Linked DNA regions of Rattus norvegicus. The protein of the gene in region 5 purifies or fractionates together with the protein of the main gene of each other region. This does not show direct contact. Links are inferred from orthologs where the notes say so. Each region holds a gene or a part of one and is shown on either strand. Other genes may lie near its edges.

Region 1 (3,765 bases), on a different chromosome or scaffold from region 5:
ACTGGTTGCTGCCTAGAGTACACCTCCTTTGTCTATGGCTGTGCTCCTGGCTGCACTCTTAGAGGCCCACCTGGCTGACTCATGGCAGCCAACTTTCAACTTGTTGAACTCGCGCTGCAGCTGCTCCAACTGCTCCTGCAAAAGCTCCTTCCTCTCCACCAGTTTCTCCCGGGCATGCCTCTCAGCTTGGAAGTCAGCCTTGTAGATGTCCGCCTGGCAAACAGAACAGAGGTGTTCACCCACCATCCATCAGCTTCCCAACAAGCATTCTATGCCATGTCCAGAGGAACAGAGTCCTGTCTTCTGGGATCCCATGATAGTACATCAGAAGCACACGTGAAAGCCTATGATCCCAATAGCACCAAGTCAAGAACAATGCAAAGGGCTCAAGACTAAGAGAGGCCACTACAAATGGTGTCCAAAAGACACATCAAAACTCATTGCCTGGACGAGCAGGTCACTCATGTGATAGGCAGGCTGGAACAGAGCCCTCACCTGGGCTTTCAAGACTGGAACGGTCTCCATGACAATCTTGTGCTGCTCAGCTTCCTCTTTCAGCTTATCAATCAATTCCTGTTTGGCTACCAGGGCCTCCTCAGCTTGCTGGAGCTGCTGCCTCAGATCTTCCAGCTGCATGCCCTAGAGAAGACAAAGGGTGCTGGCAGAGTCTCTTGGCCCACAGTGGAACCAAGTTACTTCCCTGGCTGGCCATTGTTTTGAAAACTAAGTAGGAAAAGCTGGAGCAAACCCAGTCATTTGGATTTCAGGGCCAATGACAATTCGGGCAGGGAGAATACTGCATCCTGTGGTGGCCCTACAGAAGAAATGCTGAGGTCTTTCTTAGGATGCACAAAGATCTTAGAACTGATGGGAACTCTGAGAATAAATAAGATACTGCCTGGTACTCTGCATCATTCCTGTCAGAGAATTCCTAGCTAGTCAACCTTCCTCTTGACTCTTCAAGAACAAGAGCTACCCTCGCTCCTGAGGCTTCCAACTCCACAGCAAGTAAGTAACTATGCAGTAACTCTCCATAGACTGCAGGTCCACCATACATCAGGCAAGGGGGCAACCCATGGGTCCTTCCACTCTGCTACTTGGTCAAACACACCTTATACACATGCACTCATGCTCTCAACCAAGAATTCCTTCCAAAAGGGGTGTGTGTGTGTGTGTGTGTGTGTGTGTGTGTGTGTGTACACCCACAGAAGTCAAAGATGCTATCAGATCTGCCAAAGCTAGAGTAGCAAGTAGTTGTTAGCCACCCATTGTGAATACTGAGAACAGAACTTAGGTCCTCTGAAAAAAACAGCAAGTGGTCTTAATCATTGAACAATCTTTCCAATCCCGTAAGCAGCAGTTTTATAACTAATTCTTCATCATGTGACCTGGTATCATGCTTACTTCTTAAAAATCCCCTATGGGTACATTTTGCTTGACAATTCCTTCTTAAAAGATGACCACTAACATTGCATAATTTGTGTTAGCTTTTAAGCTCTTTTCTCAGTTGACTTCCATTATTATTTTAATTTTAGACAAATAAGAAAACATGGGTTTTTAAATTAATATGAGTTAGCTCATTTCATAAGGGATATTATATAGGTAGAGGTCTTCATGTTTTGATTGTTTAAGCCCTCCCTTATTGTATTTGCTAGAAATAATAGTGTTCAAGTATTTTTTAATCTACTTGAATAACACTATTTATAGTCTTTGAAAAGTTGTTCATACCCATATGTGGGAGGGGGTGGGGATGGGGGTTTATGGACAGGAAACCAGCAAAGGGAATACCATTTGAAATGTAAGTAAAGAAATATATCTAATAAAAAATAATAATAAATAAAATAAATAAAAAAGAAAAGTTATTCATATACTTTCTGATACTTTCTGAATTAAGGCCATATTTAGGTGCTAGAGAAGCTCACCTTTTATACAGAAGTAAAAAAAAATTCATAGTCATAACTGCAGATGATGTTTACATGGAAATGTAGTAATCATTATGGCATGGAAATATCCAGTTTTTAGCCTAAAATTTTAAATATATGTTTAGGGAGAGGTCAAGTTTTAATGACTATTTTTCCCCAAATAACTGCCTATTTTGCTATAATAAAATAAATACATAAAAATATAAAATTTTGTTTAAACTCTGCAACTTTGAGAACTATTTTTTGCAGTTAAACACATACATACATACACACACATATGAACACACATATCATGGGGTTTAATTTTGCTCTTCTGCCTTTTATTCTAGTTCTCTTCATTTTATTAATTAAAAAACAAACAAATTCCCATTTTCATGAATCCCTCTTTGGACACTTCACTTTGAGTAGCAGCACTATTCTAAAACTGCACAGTTCTTTATGGTAAACAATTTTAAGAAATTTTAGTGAAAGGCAGAAATGCCTTTAGAAATCAGATTCTCTAGTCTGTTAGTATCAGTTGGCTTCCCATTACTCTCTGGAGTTATTTATTCAATGGTGGGGTATTTTGGGTTTGGGTTTTTTTTTTTGTAGTAGTTGTTTTGGTTTGGTTTGGGGGTTTTTGGGTTTTGGTTTTGAAACTACATAAAGCTGGCTGTCCTAGAACTCACTCTGTAAATCAGGCTGACCTCTAACTCAACAAGATCAGCCTGCCTCTGACTCCAGAGTGCTAGGATTAAAGGCATGTGCTACTATGCCCAACACCAATATGTGGGCTTTTGGCAACCTTGTTAAAGTTTCTTTATATGAGTAATGGGTTGTAAAGAATTATTGACAATCCATTCTATTTATGAGAAAGAGGAGAACAGCTAAAAAAACTTTATTGTGAAAAACTGGGACCACTAGAATGTTGGTCATGGTAGCACATACCTGTAATTTCAGCACAAGGAAGATGGAAGTAAAAAGATCAGTAGTTCAAGGCCAGTCTCAGCCACCTCAGAGTTCAAAACATGCCTGGGCTCTACCAAAAAAGAATAGGCTAGGGAGATAGTTCAGTTAGTAAAGTAGTTGTGAGGACCTGAATTCAAACCCCAGAACCTATGTAAGAAAAGGAGCTGGTCATGTATAGCTCCTGAGGAATAACATCAATGATGTCCTCTGACCTCCACCTATGTTTGTGAGTAGACACACAAAGTAATCATTAGACATGATGAGGATAAACTCAAAAAGAGATCAGAATCACCTAAGAAAAGTTTCTGGGAGGGGTAAAAAAGAAGCTGGAAGGATGGCTCGGAAGTTAAGAACACTTGTTCTTGGAGAAGACCCAGATTCAGTCACAGGCAGCTCAGAACCATTCATAACTCCAGTTCCAGCAGATCCATCACTCTTTTCTATCTTCGACATGTATCAAGCACACACATAGTGTACATACATATATGCAGGCAAAATATTTTTTACATAAATATAAATAAATATAAAAATGTTTTTAGAAAAAACAAAATGTTTGTAGACTTCCCAACTCTGATCATGAAGGAATGGCCATGCAGAACAACATCCCTGCCACAGACTATATCTAAAGGTCCTAGACCCAGATACCTTATACATCTATAAGGTGGATATGTCCCATCTCCTTGTGGTTATCCGAAAACTGTCATAGCTATAGCCCCACTGAAGTGTCAGGCAACTTAAGAGTCCCTTCCAAAAGCTAGATGTGCTATTTCTCAAAACTCACACTGCCCACCCTTTTCAAGTACACTGGGGAAGAAGGGGAAAACCTCTCCCTGGACAGCCCAGAAAAAACATACTTACTAGCTTATGTTCTCCACTCACCTTGCTGCTCTTAATG
Region 2 (3,765 bases), on a different chromosome or scaffold from region 5:
GGTCCTCTCACACACTAGAGACCACAGAGAAGCAGCCAGGAGCTAGGGAAGAAAGGCATTGCCTCTTAGTTACTGTACTAATGTCTTTACCAGGCTCTCCCTTGGGTACACTGTGACAATAACGCTTCAGGGACTTGATGGGACTGTCAATAGTTTTCTCAACATTATTTTACACACAAGGCAAGGGTTTAAAATTAACATGCTCACACACTTGAGTCTTCTCGCCCAGGGAGGCAGCACACTGGAGGCCTTGTCTGATGAGGGCAGAGCTCTGTTTTGACTACAGCCCCAGAGTGTTCCCTCTGTAGGCGGCTTGCACCAGCAGCATCCTTGCTTATCCCTATCATTTGCTGTGTGAGACAGCATTTGCTGTGCAGCCGTCCCCACTCCACTCACCTGTCCCCGTTCTCATCCTGCACCGCGGTGAGATGGCGCTGTACCGCCAGCAGCATCTTCACATCTCCCGTAACCGCGTAGTCGAAGAGGGCGTTGGCATGCCGCTTGGCGAGCTGCAGCGCCTTCTCAAGAAAGAGGTTATCTGCAAGGCAATGTCCACAACCACAGCTAAGTCTCACTTGCTCGCCCTACGTGTGTAGCTGAAAAAAGCTCCTTTTGGCGCTTCTGGGTTGTGTTGACTAGAGAAAGGCACAGTTGGGCATTGTCTCACTGACAGACGATACAGTTAAGAGTTTGATTTTAAAGTGTCTGTGGGCCGAGAGGAGCCACCTAGATATAACTGCTATTTTAAGAAGAACAATCAGCGTCAGTGATTTAAGGGGAGCAACCAATCTCAGGGTACTCGGACTTTGGCATAATTTTGAATAAACAATCATTTTTGTAAACAAATTCTCTTCTGGAATCCAGTCTGAGCTAAAGTGAAGGAACATGCCCTTCCAGTCCCAGGCAGACTCAGAAAGAAAGCCCTAGCATTTTTGGAAAATTTATTGCCTTAAGGTCAAGGGATGGCAAACTGGGACCTCAGCACAAATGGACGATCTAGCCTGTTTTGATATGGCTTGGTAGACATATACTGTGCATGTCAAGGGAGGTATTTAAGAAACAGAATAAAAGGACAGTGCAAGACAGTAACCATGTATGGTCACCATCCATGTCTAAACAGTTACTATGTATGGTCACCATGTCTAAATAGTTACTATCTCTTCACAGACCGCTTCTGACCTAGAATTATGACTCATATGCTAATGAGACCTGCTCTCAGGAAGCATTTCCTTTTCATTCTGCTTCTTCAAGGAGGGCAAAAGAAAAGAAGGAAAAGTCCCATTTTCGGGCAAACATCTTCAAGGAGGCAGCTGAGCTGGCTGCTGGGAGGCACGTGAAGGACATGGAAACTTCCTTGTGACCTGGGCCAGGGACAACGTGAGTTGCCTCTTCTCATACCCAGAACTGCATATGACTGGACAATGTACGTGCAAGTTTCTGCATTTTATAGTCAGATCTGATGCTGCAAAGGTGAATGGTTCTACAAGACGCCTCTCTTGCAAGGCCCAGGGCACCGCACAGAGCACTCAAACGAGATGCTGACCCATCAGCTTTAGATCAGCAGGAAGGAAACCTGTCTTCTGGAGACAGCTTCCTGTACCTAGAATTGCACCCTCCCCAGCTGTCCCTGGAAACCCTCGTGGGCACGTTCACCTACCCTGAAACCCCACATCCTCTTCCTTGTCTTCCATGGTGGATGCCGGGGCAATTGCTTCGGTCTTGGTGCTGGCCATGAACAGGCTGGGCCCCTCACCTTGTGTTTCTTTCTCAGGGGGATTCAGAATCTCCCTGTCGTCACTCTTGGCACAATCTCTAGGCTCGTTTTTAAATTTGGTGTTTATGGTGCCTAGGAAAAAGTGCAAAAACATCAGTGTTTTTCTTAGTAAAAATCTTTTAATTGAGCTATAACTCACTGTCTTGACACAGGGCAGAAGGAAGGAAAACAGGAAGGAGGGATGTTGGCTGAAAATGGAAAACTATAAATATTTATAACATAAATAACGTGTTCTGGACATATCTTATATTTCCTTATTTCTTTACTCTTTCAGACAGGGCTTTGCTGTGTAGCTTTGGCTGGCCTTGAACTCACAAGCAGTTGGCCTGGCTCTGCCTGCCAAGTGCAAAGATGTGCGCCGTAACACCTGGGCTGTTTCAGACATAGTTCAAACATTCAGAAACAATTCAAAAGCTTGTCTTTCCAACACTCACATCTTATTTCTGAAGCCAGATTTGGCGAGTCCCACCCAAAATGTCCCACAAGGTCAAGGTCACACAGTGACATTCTCTCTCAAACAAAACCAGAGAGAAACAAGAAATGAATCTCAGTTCGGTTACCTGTGAAGAAGAAACGTGAGAGAAAGTTCTGCACGCTGAGAGCCGGTTGGAGTGTAAGGTTATTTTCTTTCCTAACGCTGAGTAACGAGGGAAGGGAGCTGTGCAGAGCTCATTCCCCTTCCGTGTGGCCCCTTCTTGTGTGCCATGTCTGAATATGGTTGCTGTCGGAACCATGTTATGTGACAGTGCGACAGGTCAGACTCCCGGGCAGACCTGGTACAGAACCTGATCCTGCTGCTGTGTCTTCCGAGAGTTTCTGAAGCTCACCTCTGTCGAGAAGGGGCTGGGCTTAGTGTTCGCCATGCACAGGGGTCATGAGGTTGTGGGTAATGGGAATTCTGTTTTATGGGACGAATGGTGACCTGATTATAGGATAAAACTATAATGTCAGTTAAGATCTTTAAAAAAAGATTACAGTGATGTGTGCATCTGGCATGAATAGGCGCTATGTATGAAGAGACTTTATAGAATGATTTCCATGGTACCAAAGAATGGTTTATAGAAGCCATGAGCAGCCTGTAACCACAGCTACTCAGAGGATGCCTGAGAGTGGAAACAGCCCGACTCCACACAACAAAAACTGATTTCAAGAGGGTGGGATGTGAGGTGAAGGGACAGGCATGAAGGTGGCATTTCCACGTTTGCATAGCCAAGTCTGTATCTTCTGTCTAAAGCCTCTGTTCTGCTTCCATAAATACAGTGTGATGAGCAGATATGTGTCAGGAGTGTTCCTTATGCTGTCCTAGAATAACGTCAAGTACGGATTTACTGGAAAGTTATTTCCTCAAGCTTTTAAGGACCATCCTGATGCCCACGCAGTGTTCTTGGTACTCAGCTCTGACTTACCATGGGTGATGCCTGTGTTGGATTTAGTGGCTCCGGGATGGAATGCAATCCCACCGTAAGCAGGAAATCCATAGTGCGGGAAGCCATACCCTGAACCAGCAATGAGACAAAGGGAACATCAGGGAGATTTTTAACACTATGGTGACCCACTCAGGGGAGGCAGGCCTTGGTGTGGGGAGGCGCTGGCCTACACAGGCTCCGCCAGAGTTAGCAGGGTACACTGTGGGAAACGGACAGTTCAGTTTCACTGTGGCAACCCAGGCAGTGCCCAGACTGGCAGCCTGGATGACTTTAATGCGGAGCAGGCCCTCTCCTGCCAGAGAAGGGAAAAGCTGATGGTAAGCCATCACACCAAGATTCAGACCTACAGTAACATAGGATGACCCCTGGTGAGGAAAACCCAGTACAGTAATATACTGATACTTTAGTGGAAAAAATGGTCAGCACGTTCATTTTCAGTGGAAAGATGAATGATAAATTTCTCTGGAGGACCAGCCAGCACTTAACACCACACTCTCTGACATACAGTTTGAAGCGTTTACATGTTATCTGGAATAAAGGAAAGCCATGCTCAGCACGGTATCT
Region 3 (3,765 bases), on a different chromosome or scaffold from region 5:
AGGGAGGAAGGGAGGAGGAGGTAAGGAAGGAAGGGAGGGAGGAGGAAGTAAGGAAGGAAGGAAGGAAGGGAGGGAGGGAGGAAGGGAGGAGGAAGGAAGGAAGGAAGGAAGGGAGGGAGGGAGGAAGGGAGGAAGGAAGGAAGGAAGGAAGGAAGGAAGGAAGGGAGGAGGAAGGAAGGGAGGGAGGGAGGAGGAAGGAAGGAAGGGAGGAGGAAGGAAGGGAGGGAGGGAGGAAGGAAGGGAGGGAGGGAGGAAGGAAGGGAGGAAGGGAGGAAGGAAGGGAGGGAGGGAGGAAGGAAGGGAGGAAGGGAGGGAAGAGGAAGGAAGGAAGGGAGGGAGGAGGAGGTAAGGGAGGAAGGGAGGAGGAGGTAAGGAAGGGAGGGAGGAAGGGAGGGAGGGAGGAGGAAGGGAGGGAGGGAGGAGGAAGGAAGGAAGGAAGGGAGGGAGGGAGGAGGAAGGAAGGGAGGAAGGGAGGGAGGAGGAAGGAAGGATGGATGGATGAAAGAAAATATGTAGCTACTGGAAACCTAAGTGGGGCTTGGGGTATAGCTGTGTACGACGACCTGGTTCAATTGCTGGCAGTGTTTAAAAGGAAAAAAGAAAAGAAAAAGAAAAATGTGATTGAAAAAGGTTCAAGATACATTGTGAGAGAAAAATTGGGGAATCATGTAACACAGTATCGTCTTGAACTCCTATTTTTAAACACAGCCAAGGAAAACTTAACTCCTGATCTGCCTGCCTCGACTTCCCAAGTGCCATGATTATAGGCATGCACTACCACGAAGGATTGAAAAAAGGTTTTTTAAAAGATCACTGATCCTTTTTTTTAAGTTGCCAAACACAGTGGGTGAATGAGAGTGCTGAGAAGGATGGTGTCTGTGTTTGTTCAAAGGGACTGCAATGTGTGTTTGAGGACAGTGGCCATTTTGGAGGGGACTAACAGTCATTTGCTATTCTTCCTATATATGTGTATATACTTGAGGAATTTTTTTCTGTAATGGACACTGCTTTATTTATTTGTTTGTTTGTTTTGAGACAGGATCTCTTTAATAAGATTTAATAATAATCTTATAATTTTAATAATAATCTAATAAGATTTAATCCTGGAAATCACAGTGTAGACCAGGATGGCCTTGAACCCACAGAGATCTGTGTCTGAGTGCTGGGATTAAAGACATGCACCACCACTGGCTTCTTTTTGTTTCTTGAGATGAGGTCTCAACGTACATCCCATAATGCCTTCAAACTTTACCTCTGACTCAGACTTCTGGTTGCTAGAATTATATGTGCAAACCACTAATCCCACCTAATGTACTCCTTTTCAAGTTATGAAAATCCTTTAGACCTTTCAGCAGTCAAGGAAACAAGACAAGCTAAGAGTACAGACATAAGAAAAAAATCAAAGCACTTACGGTTGTCGTAAATCGGGTTGGAAACAATGGGAGGCAGCGCGGTTGTGAAGTTACCATGTTCATCAGGAAGGAAAACTTGGAAGCACAGCCTCACCACATTGAGGTCGCAGTCTTCAATGTCCAGCAGCTGCTGTTCAGGGACTGAATGGTACAATCTCAGGCTTAGAGCGGAGAACACATAACACTAATACTTACATAAGACCAAAATCCTGCTGTCTTTCTCTCTCCCCAACACCCAATAAGCTCAGTCTGCACCTCTGTCTGCAGAGAACTAGGATGGTGTACCGTCTCAAGATTAGCTTTCCTTACAGCTCATTGTGCACTCACTATTTAACCGCCTATGGTAAATTGTAGCCATGCTCAGGGAGAGACCACACCAGAGACCAGAGACTTAAGGTCAGAACCATAAACTGACCACCATAAAGCAAAAATCTTAAATGTGGACACAATTCATAGGTGGTGGCAAATAGGCACTCTTCATTTAACACAGTACTTCGCCCAGTCTGTAATTATCTTCTAATCTAGCAGAAACCGTCATCGTCCGTGTTCTTATAGGTGAGACACGGATTTTAAGGAGATGACGTTATTTGTCCCAAATTTTACAGCTAAATAATAGTGTGGGAATTTGAACCAGAGGGGCCATATTAACTATGCCCCGGCATTTTAGAGATGCAACGAGAAAAAGATACCGGTGATCTAACTTAATGTGTAAATCAAGTCAGCTTAAAAACGAACTGCACATCGGGGCACTTTTACGGTCCTGAAAAAATATAAAACCTTGCCACAGAATATTGCAGGTGAATAGCCTCTTTGCACTGATATTTGAAAAGAAGTCCATTTCTAAAACAAAATATTGCTGCCTTTTGAAATATTCTAGGCCTGTAGCAATACATTATTACTAATATATGTCATATTTTAAAAGCACGAAATTCATTAAATTACATGAAAAATTTACTTGGAAGGGATGCAGCTATCAAAATTAAAAGATTAAATTTGAAAAATAACTAGCTAAATTCCCCAGTCTTACAGGTGATGAGTAATTTAAAAAAAAAAAAAGTATCTCACACAATGTCAGTCAAACAGTCTCAGGAGTTATCCTAACACTGAGATTTCTTCCAGTGTCAGTGTTCTTAGGCCTAACATTTGGGTCTATGAAAACATACCCGTACAACTAGAAAGGTCAAAATGGGGCTGAGAGAAATAATTCAGTGGATAAAGTAATTTCCTTGTAAGTACAAGCTCAGCCCTCCAAATCCATGCGATAAAGCCAGGTGCAGTAGTAAGGCTCCTGGGTAATAATTCCAGGCTGGGAAGGCAGAAGCAGGACTATTGGTCAAGCTCTAGGCTAGTGAGAAACACAGACAGGCAGACAGGCAGACAGGCAGACAGACAGACAGACAAAATCAATGAATGGCTAGGTGCTCCTGAGTTTACAAATAAATTTATGTTAATAGAGACAAACTGTGTATAGTCATAGAATGGACTAACACCCAGCAGTAAAGAACAAACTGTGGCTATACACTCCAACAATACACACTGCAAAAACAGTAAGACCAAATGGACCCAGACAGGGAAACATATAGACTAGAAAAGAATATACTTCCAACTCTATAAAACCCTAGAAAAGTTAGGTGTGCTGGCGGAAAGGAATGGAGCTGTTGACTGGGGCAGGACATGAAGGAGAGAGCTGACTAAGAAAGATCAAAGCCATTTTGTGGGTGGGGAAATGTTTCTTTGCCTTGAGGTTACATGAGAGGCTGTATCTGGGTGCAGGTATTTGCCAATGAGAGTTTAAAGAATTAAAGTGATATATAAACGAAAAATAAAATGGCTAATAACCTAAAATATAAATATAGTTAGCCACACAATGATTCTATCAAAGGCAAGAAATTCTATTTTCACAAAGGATTATCATTTGGGGAATTTTGTTTTGCTCTTTCTCTATGTAGAGAGACCGTTTCACTGCATCAGTATCATTCCCGTCTCTGTACAACATGGTTAAAAATCACTGATGACCAGGGACCACAGGCGAGCCCTGGACTCAGTACAGGGTGAAAGCTCGACTGAGAACTGCCTGGTCTGTGCACACGCATGTACAGATAAGTCATGTGGAGGGCAGAGATCAGGACGACCGCCCTCCACTGTATTTTGAGACAGGGTCAATCGCTGAACGTTGACAGCCCCAGAAATCCACCGGGAGCCACCTCCCTTGTGTTGGGAATGCCTAGCTCTTTCCAAATGGATGCTAGAATTGAACTCAGGTCTCACGCTTATGTCACAGGCTCTGTACTTACTTAGTCATACTCCCTACCCTGAGCTAATTTTCTACAAAGTCTGAGCCTCATCCTGGAAT
Region 4 (3,403 bases), on a different chromosome or scaffold from region 5:
GAAAAGGTGGGATTTCCAGGTTGGATGGCGGGGGTAGAGGAAGAAAAGGGATGCAGGGAGAGGGGAGCTCTCTTCAGACCAGGTTTTAGAATGAGAGGACAAGACAACCATGTAAGGTCTTAGGGCAACTAGAGCGGGTGAATTTCTGATATAGGATAGCTGTAAGCTTAGGGTAATAAATTCTATACCCAGAAATTGTGTTATCTGGCAAGTTTTAAAATATTAAAACTGTCTTAAAGCGTTTCTCATCCTCGGGCAAAGGCAGAGTAGTGGCTGGTGACTTGGCGAAGCTAGCTGGGAGGGGTAGGGGACCCAGGGAAGGGCAGGGGACCCATCCCAGTCAGGACACCAGCTGGCTGTTGGCAGAGCTAAGCAGAGAATGTGGCCGGAGCAAAGGAGCCATTGTGTTTTTAAAGTTGCACGGTAGGTATGAGTGTGTGGCCACCACATACGCTCCTGGAAACAGGTGGAACTGTGAGTTTTTTTTCAAGCCAGGGTTTCTCTGTGTGGCTGTCCTGGAACTCACCCTGTAGACCAGGCTGGCCTCAAGCTCAGGGATCTGCTTGTCTCTGCTTCTCAAGTGACTGGATTAAAGGCCTGTGCTACCACCGCATGGAGGAACTGGAATTTCTAACTTTACAAACTGACTTTCTCAGTCTGAAATAAAGTGTTATAACACTACCACCAAAACAGGGAAGGAAGGAAGGGAGGAAGGAAGGAAGGAAGAGAGGAAGGAAGGAGGGGAGGGAGGAAGGGAGGAAGGAAGGGAGGGAGGAAGGAAGGAAGGAAGGGAGGGAGGGAGGAAGGGAGGAAGGGAGGAAGGAAGGGAGGAAGGAAGGAAGGAGGGGAGGGAAGAAGGAAGGGAGGAAGGAAGGAGGGGAGGAAGGGAGGAAGGAAGGAAGGGAGGAAGGAAGGGAGGGAGGAAGGTAGGAAGGAAGGGAGGAAGGAAGGAAGGGAGGGAGGAAGGAGGGGAGGGAGGAAGGGAGGAAGGAAGGGAGGAAGGAAGGAAGGGAGGGAGGAAGGGAGGGAGGGAGGAAGGGAGGGAGGAAGGAAGGGAGGAAGGGAGGGAGGAAGGGAGGAAGGGAGGAAGGAAGGGAGGAAGGGAGGAAGGAAGGGAGGGAGGAAGGGAGGAAGGGCGGAAGGGAGGGAGGGAGGAAGGGAGGAAGGAAGGAAATGTAGTTTGATGTCAAGGTAATACATGATTGGACAATAGAGAGTGGAGCAGGGACAATGTTTTTGTAAGTCGGGAGAGAGGAGGAAGGGGGATCGAGATGGAGTCTTCGGAGGAGGATGGTTCAGATTTAGGTGAATTAGATTGACTTTATCTTGTCTAGGTGGGTGGTTTATATCTTTATCAATTGGCAGTGAATTTTCTGTGTGGATGAATTGTGGATTGAGAATTTAACGTGTAAATCTAATTGCTAAATTACAAGTTTCTGGAACTTTTGATTTTACTGGGCTAAAGAGGACAGTGTGTGAAAGAAACGGCTGAGAGGCAGTTGGAGTGTGTGGATCTGGTTCTGTTGCCCTCAAGGAGCGAGAACCCGCAGGGCCAGCAGATATGTGTGTGTCAGAGTGGTAACTAGCACCTAGGGGACCTCGTGGAGAGGGCGGCTAAAAGGAGACAGCCGGGAGAGGGCGGCCTGCAGACCTCATAGCAGAGTAGCAGCTGGAGCGAGTGGGTCCGGCTTGCGGGAGCAGATAGAAAATGTTCCTTTTTAAATTTTACCACAACAATGAGAGAGAGGGAGGGAGGGAGGGGGAGAGAGAGAGACAGAGACAGAGAGAGAGAGAGAGACAGAGAGACAAGCCAAGTTCGATGGGGCACTCTGGAGGCAGAGCAAATGACTCTGTGAGTTCAAGGCCAGCCTGGTCTGTACAGAGAGTTCCAGTCCAGCCAGGAATATACAGTGGGACTGTGCTGTCCTACAACACCAAAGCAGCCTGAAGGTGCAAATCGAAGCTCTGACTACTCTGTCACTGCTGTCTGTCCTGACGCACTCCCTCTTTGTTCCATTTGACCTGGATACAGTGTTTTCCTAACAAAACAAAAGCAGTGAATGTGCTCCCTGGAAGCCCCATCCACCCTGTCCCCATTTCCAGAACAGAACAAAGAAATTCAGAGAGGAGAGGCCTGTGCGGCTCAGGCAGGCAGCGGGAGCAGGAGGAAGGGCAAGGTGCACAGAGGCCCTGGACAGACATCGATGGAGGTGATGTCAGAACCACAGACAAGCCAGCAGCTGGAAAGAGCTGGGATAAGAGAATGCTGTGGGCCTTACTTTTCCCTTTTATCACTTTCTGAGCTCGGAATCTGAGGAGGGCATCTAGGAACCAAATGCTCCGGGCTTGCCGGTTTCGCTGCACCTCGTCTGCTGGCAAAGACTTCAGCATTTCTATGATGAAGGAGCAGTGGCTAAAACAAGAAAGGGTCACAGCAGCACATGAGGGGAAGCAGGCTCTCAGGAGCCACACCCCCTCCCCAGCACACCGTCCATACACCCAGAGCAAGACGGCTAAGGAGGCCCGCCCTTCAGGGTGCACCAGGTTTGACTGACAGACTCCATCGCACTGAATAAGGTAGACAGCAATAGTGGATGACTCCTATAATCAAACTCCACGTGCACCCACACGCAAACACATACACCACGCACACACAAACACATAGGCATTCATACACACTCAGACACACACACGCACAATCAAATTTTTAAAGAGTAGGGGAGAGATGGCTTACTAGAGTATTGCTGCTCTTGCAGAGAACTCCAGTTTGTTTTCTACCACTCCCCTGGGCCATTCCCAACAGCCTGTAACTACAGATCTAGAGGATCCCATGACACCCATGTCATAGGCACACATACACACATACAAAATCTTAGAAAAGAAAGGAATAGTTAGAAGAAAAGGCTCAGAACTAAGAAATAATCTGACTATCATTTAAAAAAAAGTTGTTTTAATGGCAAAAGAGAAGAGGGATGGATAATCTCTGTTATTTAAAATAAATAATGTTTAGAATCCGTATTTAATTTTAGTTAAGTCTGTCAGCATGCTGTCACAGAGAAGCCTTGCTTTGGGCTCCCAAGCTGGCCTTTGGGCACTGACAGTGACACTCTGCTTCAACAAACAGTAGAGGCGGGGCAAGCTTTGGTCCCCGGCCCCAGACTACAGCACCTTACTATCATCTCCCAGCTACAGGCTCTACACACATGACCACTCCTCTTCCTTGAATCCACCCACAGCTCCTGGAAGCCTAGCATCGAAGCTTGCTCCTTCCTTCATTCCAGGCTGCGCAGACGCCACCCATGCTTCACGGGGCTGCTTTCTATCTGACTGGTTTTTCCCATGACTCACTGAAACCCCATCTACCCACGAGTACCTGTTCTCTTCCACCATCTTCAGTATGTCT
Region 5 (4,364 bases):
AGCTGACACCACAGCCAGCTTCAGTACTTTTATGAGCCCTAGAGGGTCCTTTCCCCAACCCCATACTCCCTGAGTTTGGGGATCAAACTGGAACACTGTCTTTTCCAGGTCTAGCACAAATGAGGTTCAGAAGGGATTGAGGATAGGCGGGGCAACAATAGGAGATGAGGACAATATGGAAGGGAACCAGGGGTTGAGGCTATACATTTTCCTTGACAGTCCCCAGAAGCCGCCATTCTCCCAGGAGCTGTACTAATCCCCAGATGGGTTTAGGGATCAGGGCCATAAGCCAAGGGCCCTTGGGTAAAAGCCTTCCCTTGCACCTCCCCCAGTGCGGCATGTGGAACCACGTCCATTTCTCTCCTTCCCTCCACCCTTTTCCCCATCTCACCTGAGCCTCCTGCACCTTCCCTGCCTGGTTCTCCAGAGGGTCAGAGGCTGGGGAGGAGGGGGAGCAGACGTGGTTACAGTGGGGGGAAATAGTTAAGCAGATGAAGGGTTCACAGTGGTGGAGGCGACAATAGGACCCACCAACCTAATTATCCTGGAGTCATGGATGGTAGTAAAACTATTGGAGATGGGGAAAGGCATGTTTTAGAGTGGAGGAATGTGTGAGGAGGGGAAGGTTTGGGAGGAAAAAGCAGGTGAAACGGGACTGAAGGAAGGTTTCAGAGTTAAGCAGGATAAGGTAGCGAGTGCGAGCCAGGAGAATGAGGGAGGGCTAAGTTTTTCAAGAGATGTTAAGTAGGGATACTTCTGCTGAGAGTTGAGTGTGGGAGAGGAGATGCAGTGAAGGTGGGAGGTTTAGGAGAGGCACAAGAACTGAAGGAATGAGATAGAAAGGGGCCGCAGGGGTCCCCAAACATACTATAGTTGCCCTTAACAACAGGCAACCTTAGCAACCGGGATCGTGGTAACTTTGGTCCTTAGCAACGAGGGTCCTCAGCAACCAAAGTGCGAGAAACGCGATCATTCAAAACTTTGCAAATGGACCCTTAAATTTCACAATCCAGAAACCCACCAACCTAGCAATATCGACCACTTAGCAACAGCCCTCCGAATCCCACTCCCTTCAGGCAGCCTCTGTCTCCCACCCCACCGACCTGCCCGCGGGCCCCGGGGCCTGCAGCCCAAAGCCAGGCCCCGGCGCGGCCCGACCCTCCCACCCTCCCACCAGGGCCCCTAACTCACGGTCCGGCTCGGCCATGGGAACGGGGTGGGGGCTCTCGGGACTGTCACCGACTGCTCTGTCCCGTGACGGCAGCGGAAACAAGAAGGAGCCGAGAGAGGATAGAAAAATACAACTCCCGACAGGCAACGCGGTCCCGTAACCGCTTTCATACGGTGCTCCCCTCACGTTATCAAACTACAAATCCCAAAAGGCTTGGCGCCGGCGGCCATATTAATAAAGGGCGTCTGGAAAATCTGGGGAAACTCAGCGAGCGAATGTCCATCTCATTATTCTGATTGGTTCTGGTGCAGTACAGAGGCGGGGTGTGGCTATTTAACACAGTTTGATTGGGTATATGAGGGGGCGTGTTGGGGAATTCCCAATAGGGCGGAAGCGCTGGAGCTCTCGGCAGAACCCAGCGTCAGGCAGGCGACCGCAGGGGGCCACCCGAGGTGGCAGGGGCAATGGCCGGGGTCGCGTGCTTGGGGAAAACTGCAGACGCCGATGAATGGTGCGACAGTGGCCTGGGCTCTCTAGGTCCCGACGCAGCAGCTCCCGGAGGACCAGGTCTGGTCGCAGAGCTTAGCCCAGAGCTGTCTTGGGCGCCCTTAGTCTTTGGCTACGTCACTGAGGATGGGGACACGTGAGTAAACCTTAAATTACCAATTTACCCTAGGGATCTTACCTGAGTCTCCATTAGCCTATGATTTCTGTGGCTTCTTATCTTCTCGTTCCTAACTCTGATTTCTGATGCTGGACTTCCTGACCCATAACCACCAATCACTAAATTGTGAGACTAGTCCGTTTTCACTCACAGTCAAGTGTCTCAACTTTTCTGAACTCTTAAATTTGAGCTTACGATCCCCAAATCGGGTCTGAACCTTTCTGACCACTCTAGTTCCCACATCTTCTGACCTCTTGCTTCCAGATGTGGTCTTTGGTCTTTGGCTATTCTTGTATAAGCCAGATTTTGATTTCCAAAATTAATTCTTGACCCTGAGTCTACGACGCTGACACATCCAGCACTGACCCTGCAATTGAGAAACCGAGCTACTGGGTGTCATGGGCCTCACAGAAGTTGGGAGGCAAAGGCAGGTTGATCTCTGTGAGTTTGGGGCCACCTGATTGAGATGCCGGCCAGCCAGAGCTACATAAAATTTAGAAGCTCGATTCTATGAAGATGGATTCATCTGTTAGCCAAACGTCTCTCCCTAACTACCACCTTTCAATCCCTGGTTTTAGTTTAGCTGAATGTGGTGGTACACACTTGTCATCCCAGCTCTTAAGGGGCTGAGGCAGGAGGATTGCTAGTCTGAGGAGAGCCTGGGAAGACCGGTATCAAAAAGGAGGGATAAGGAAAAGGAGGAGAGGGAGCCTGGGGGGGGGGTGTGGAGCAGGAAATGTTGATTAGTAGATAAACTGGGGAGAAGGGATGGCTGTGGTGACAGTGTGTGTAAGGGAGTGTACCCGGGATTTTCTTGTCCTTTGTGCTCATTGCGTATACCCAGTGACTCAGTGCCTGACCCATGAGGGGAACCCAATAAACACTCATCTTAAAGAGCCAGGAGTAGTTTCCTTAATTTTCTAATTTTTCACTTTCTACTTTATTGGCCCTTGTTCCTTTATTGTTTCCCTCTGGTTATTTAATTTTTGTAATTTCTTTATCCTTTTTTTTTTTTTTTTTGTTCTTTTTTTCGGAGCTGGGGACCGAACCCAGGGCCTTGCGCTTCCTAGGCAAGCGCTCTACCACTGAGCTAAATCCCCAACCCCCCTCTTTTTTTTTTTTTTTTTGTTTTGTTTTGTTTTGTTTTGCTTGTTTGTTTTTGACAGTCTTGTGTAGCCCATGCTAGCCTTCAGGTTGTAGCTGAGGATGGCTTTGAACTTTTCATTCTCCTGTGTCCACCTCCCAAGTGTGTATCACTACATCCAGCTCAGGGATGTGCGTGTGTGTGTGTGTGTGTGTGTGTGTGTGTGTGTGTGTGTGTGTGTTCGCACTAACCACATAGGCTAGACTAGCTGGCCTGAGAGAACCTTGTCTCTTGCTCCCCACCCTCCTCCTCCTCTTTGAGACAGGGTGGCTGACCTGGAACTCACTATGTAGACCAGACTGGCCTCAAACTCATAAAGATCCATCTGCCTCTATGTCCTGAGTGCTGGGACCAAAGGTGTGCGCCTCTGTGCTCTACTCCAGGGATCTCCTAGTGTTAGGATTATAAATACTTACAACCACACCCAGCTTTTTTTTATGTGGGTTCTGAACTAAGGTCACTGTGCTTTACTTACAAAATAGTTCCCCAGCCACCCACTCCACCCCCTTTTTCGTCAGTGTCTTACTATGTAGCCCAGGCTAGCCTTGAACACTACTGTAAAAAATAATAAAAATAATTGATTCAGCCATTTAGCTCCCAACAAGGACTCTGGCACTAATTATTCATTAATAAATGCCTTGGCTACAAGCTTTGGCTCATTCCCTGGCTAACTTATAACCTATTTAACGCATTCAAACTATCCTATGTCTTCCACGTGGTTACCTTTCCTGCAGTCTCCAGCCTGCCTCTTCCTTAGCGTCGTCTTTCTCAGTGTCTCAGTGACCCCTCCAGTGCCTCTCCCTGCATCTCCCTTTTTTCCTCACCATTTCCCAGAATTCTCTCTCTCTTCCTGGCAGTGTCCCACCTGTTTCCTCCCTCAGCTCATTGGCCATAGGCTTTTTTTTATCGACAGGTGTTGCCTTTAAGAAATTCTGTCCACACTATGAAACTTGTCTTTGGTTTATTTTATTTTATTTGTTTTTTGTTGTTGTTGTTTTTTGTTTTTGTTTTTGTTTTGAGATAGGGTTTCTCTGTGTAGCCCAGACTGTCCCAGAACTCTTTCTGCAGACCAAACTGGCCTTGAACTCAGAGATACATTTGCCATTACCTTCCAAATAATTTACTTTATGCGTATGACTGTTTTACCTGTGTACATGTATGTGGACTGTGTTTGTGCTTGTTGGAGCCCCTGGAACTGGAGGTAGGGATGGCTGTGAGCCACAATGTAGGTGCTGGAAATCAAGTCTGGGTCCTCTGCAAGAGCAACAAGTGGTTTTTTTGTTTTTAAAGGTTTATTTATTTATTATATATAAGTACACTGTAGCTGTCTTCAGACACACCAGAAGAGGGCATCAGACCCCATTACAGATGGTTGGGAGCCACCA

The links.
Region 1: the proteins of Nfkbib (region 5) and Ikbkg purify together in Homo sapiens (affinity purification with western blotting; 5 studies listed by BioGRID and IntAct, with this or other methods). This does not show direct contact. The link is inferred for Rattus norvegicus from reciprocal best matches to the Homo sapiens genes NFKBIB and IKBKG.
Region 2: the proteins of Nfkbib (region 5) and Nfkb1 purify together in Homo sapiens (affinity purification with mass spectrometry; 7 studies listed by BioGRID and IntAct, counting the BioPlex papers as one, with this or other methods). This does not show direct contact. The link is inferred for Rattus norvegicus from reciprocal best matches to the Homo sapiens genes NFKBIB and NFKB1.
Region 3: the proteins of Nfkbib (region 5) and Rel purify together in Homo sapiens (affinity purification with mass spectrometry; 7 studies listed by BioGRID and IntAct, counting the BioPlex papers as one, with this or other methods). This does not show direct contact. The link is inferred for Rattus norvegicus from reciprocal best matches to the Homo sapiens genes NFKBIB and REL.
Region 4: the proteins of Nfkbib (region 5) and Polr1e purify together in Homo sapiens (affinity purification with mass spectrometry; 3 studies listed by BioGRID and IntAct, counting the BioPlex papers as one, with this or other methods). This does not show direct contact. The link is inferred for Rattus norvegicus from reciprocal best matches to the Homo sapiens genes NFKBIB and POLR1E.

The regions. Positions count from the first base shown.
Region 1 is NC_086039.1:157,382,866-157,386,630, reverse strand, and holds part of Ikbkg (NF-kappa-B essential modulator), read right to left. Parts: coding exon 3,750-3,765; intron 640-3,749; coding exon 496-639; intron 214-495; coding exon 71-213; intron 1-70. UniProt on the Homo sapiens protein: Regulatory subunit of the IKK core complex which phosphorylates inhibitors of NF-kappa-B thus leading to the dissociation of the inhibitor/NF-kappa-B complex and ultimately the degradation of the inhibitor.
Region 2 is NC_086020.1:226,707,717-226,711,481, forward strand, and holds part of Nfkb1 (nuclear factor NF-kappa-B p105 subunit), read right to left. Parts: intron 3,271-3,765; coding exon 3,181-3,270; intron 1,847-3,180; coding exon 1,658-1,846; intron 539-1,657; coding exon 397-538; intron 1-396.
Region 3 is NC_086032.1:101,901,193-101,904,957, forward strand, and holds part of Rel (proto-oncogene c-Rel), read right to left. Parts: intron 1,554-3,765; coding exon 1,413-1,553; intron 1-1,412. UniProt on the Homo sapiens protein: Proto-oncogene that may play a role in differentiation and lymphopoiesis.
Region 4 is NC_086023.1:64,085,104-64,088,506, reverse strand, and holds part of Polr1e (DNA-directed RNA polymerase I subunit RPA49), read right to left. Parts: coding exon 3,374-3,403; intron 2,414-3,373; coding exon 2,280-2,413; intron 1-2,279. UniProt on the Homo sapiens protein: Component of RNA polymerase I (Pol I), a DNA-dependent RNA polymerase which synthesizes ribosomal RNA precursors using the four ribonucleoside triphosphates as substrates.
Region 5 is NC_086019.1:93,178,400-93,182,763, reverse strand, and holds the start of Nfkbib (NF-kappa-B inhibitor beta), read left to right. Parts: upstream 1-1,376; 5' UTR 1,377-1,635; coding exon 1,636-1,814; intron 1,815-4,364. Other genes in the region: Sirt2 (NAD-dependent protein deacetylase sirtuin-2), read right to left, coding at 392-438, 1,192-1,207. UniProt on the Homo sapiens protein: Inhibits NF-kappa-B by complexing with and trapping it in the cytoplasm.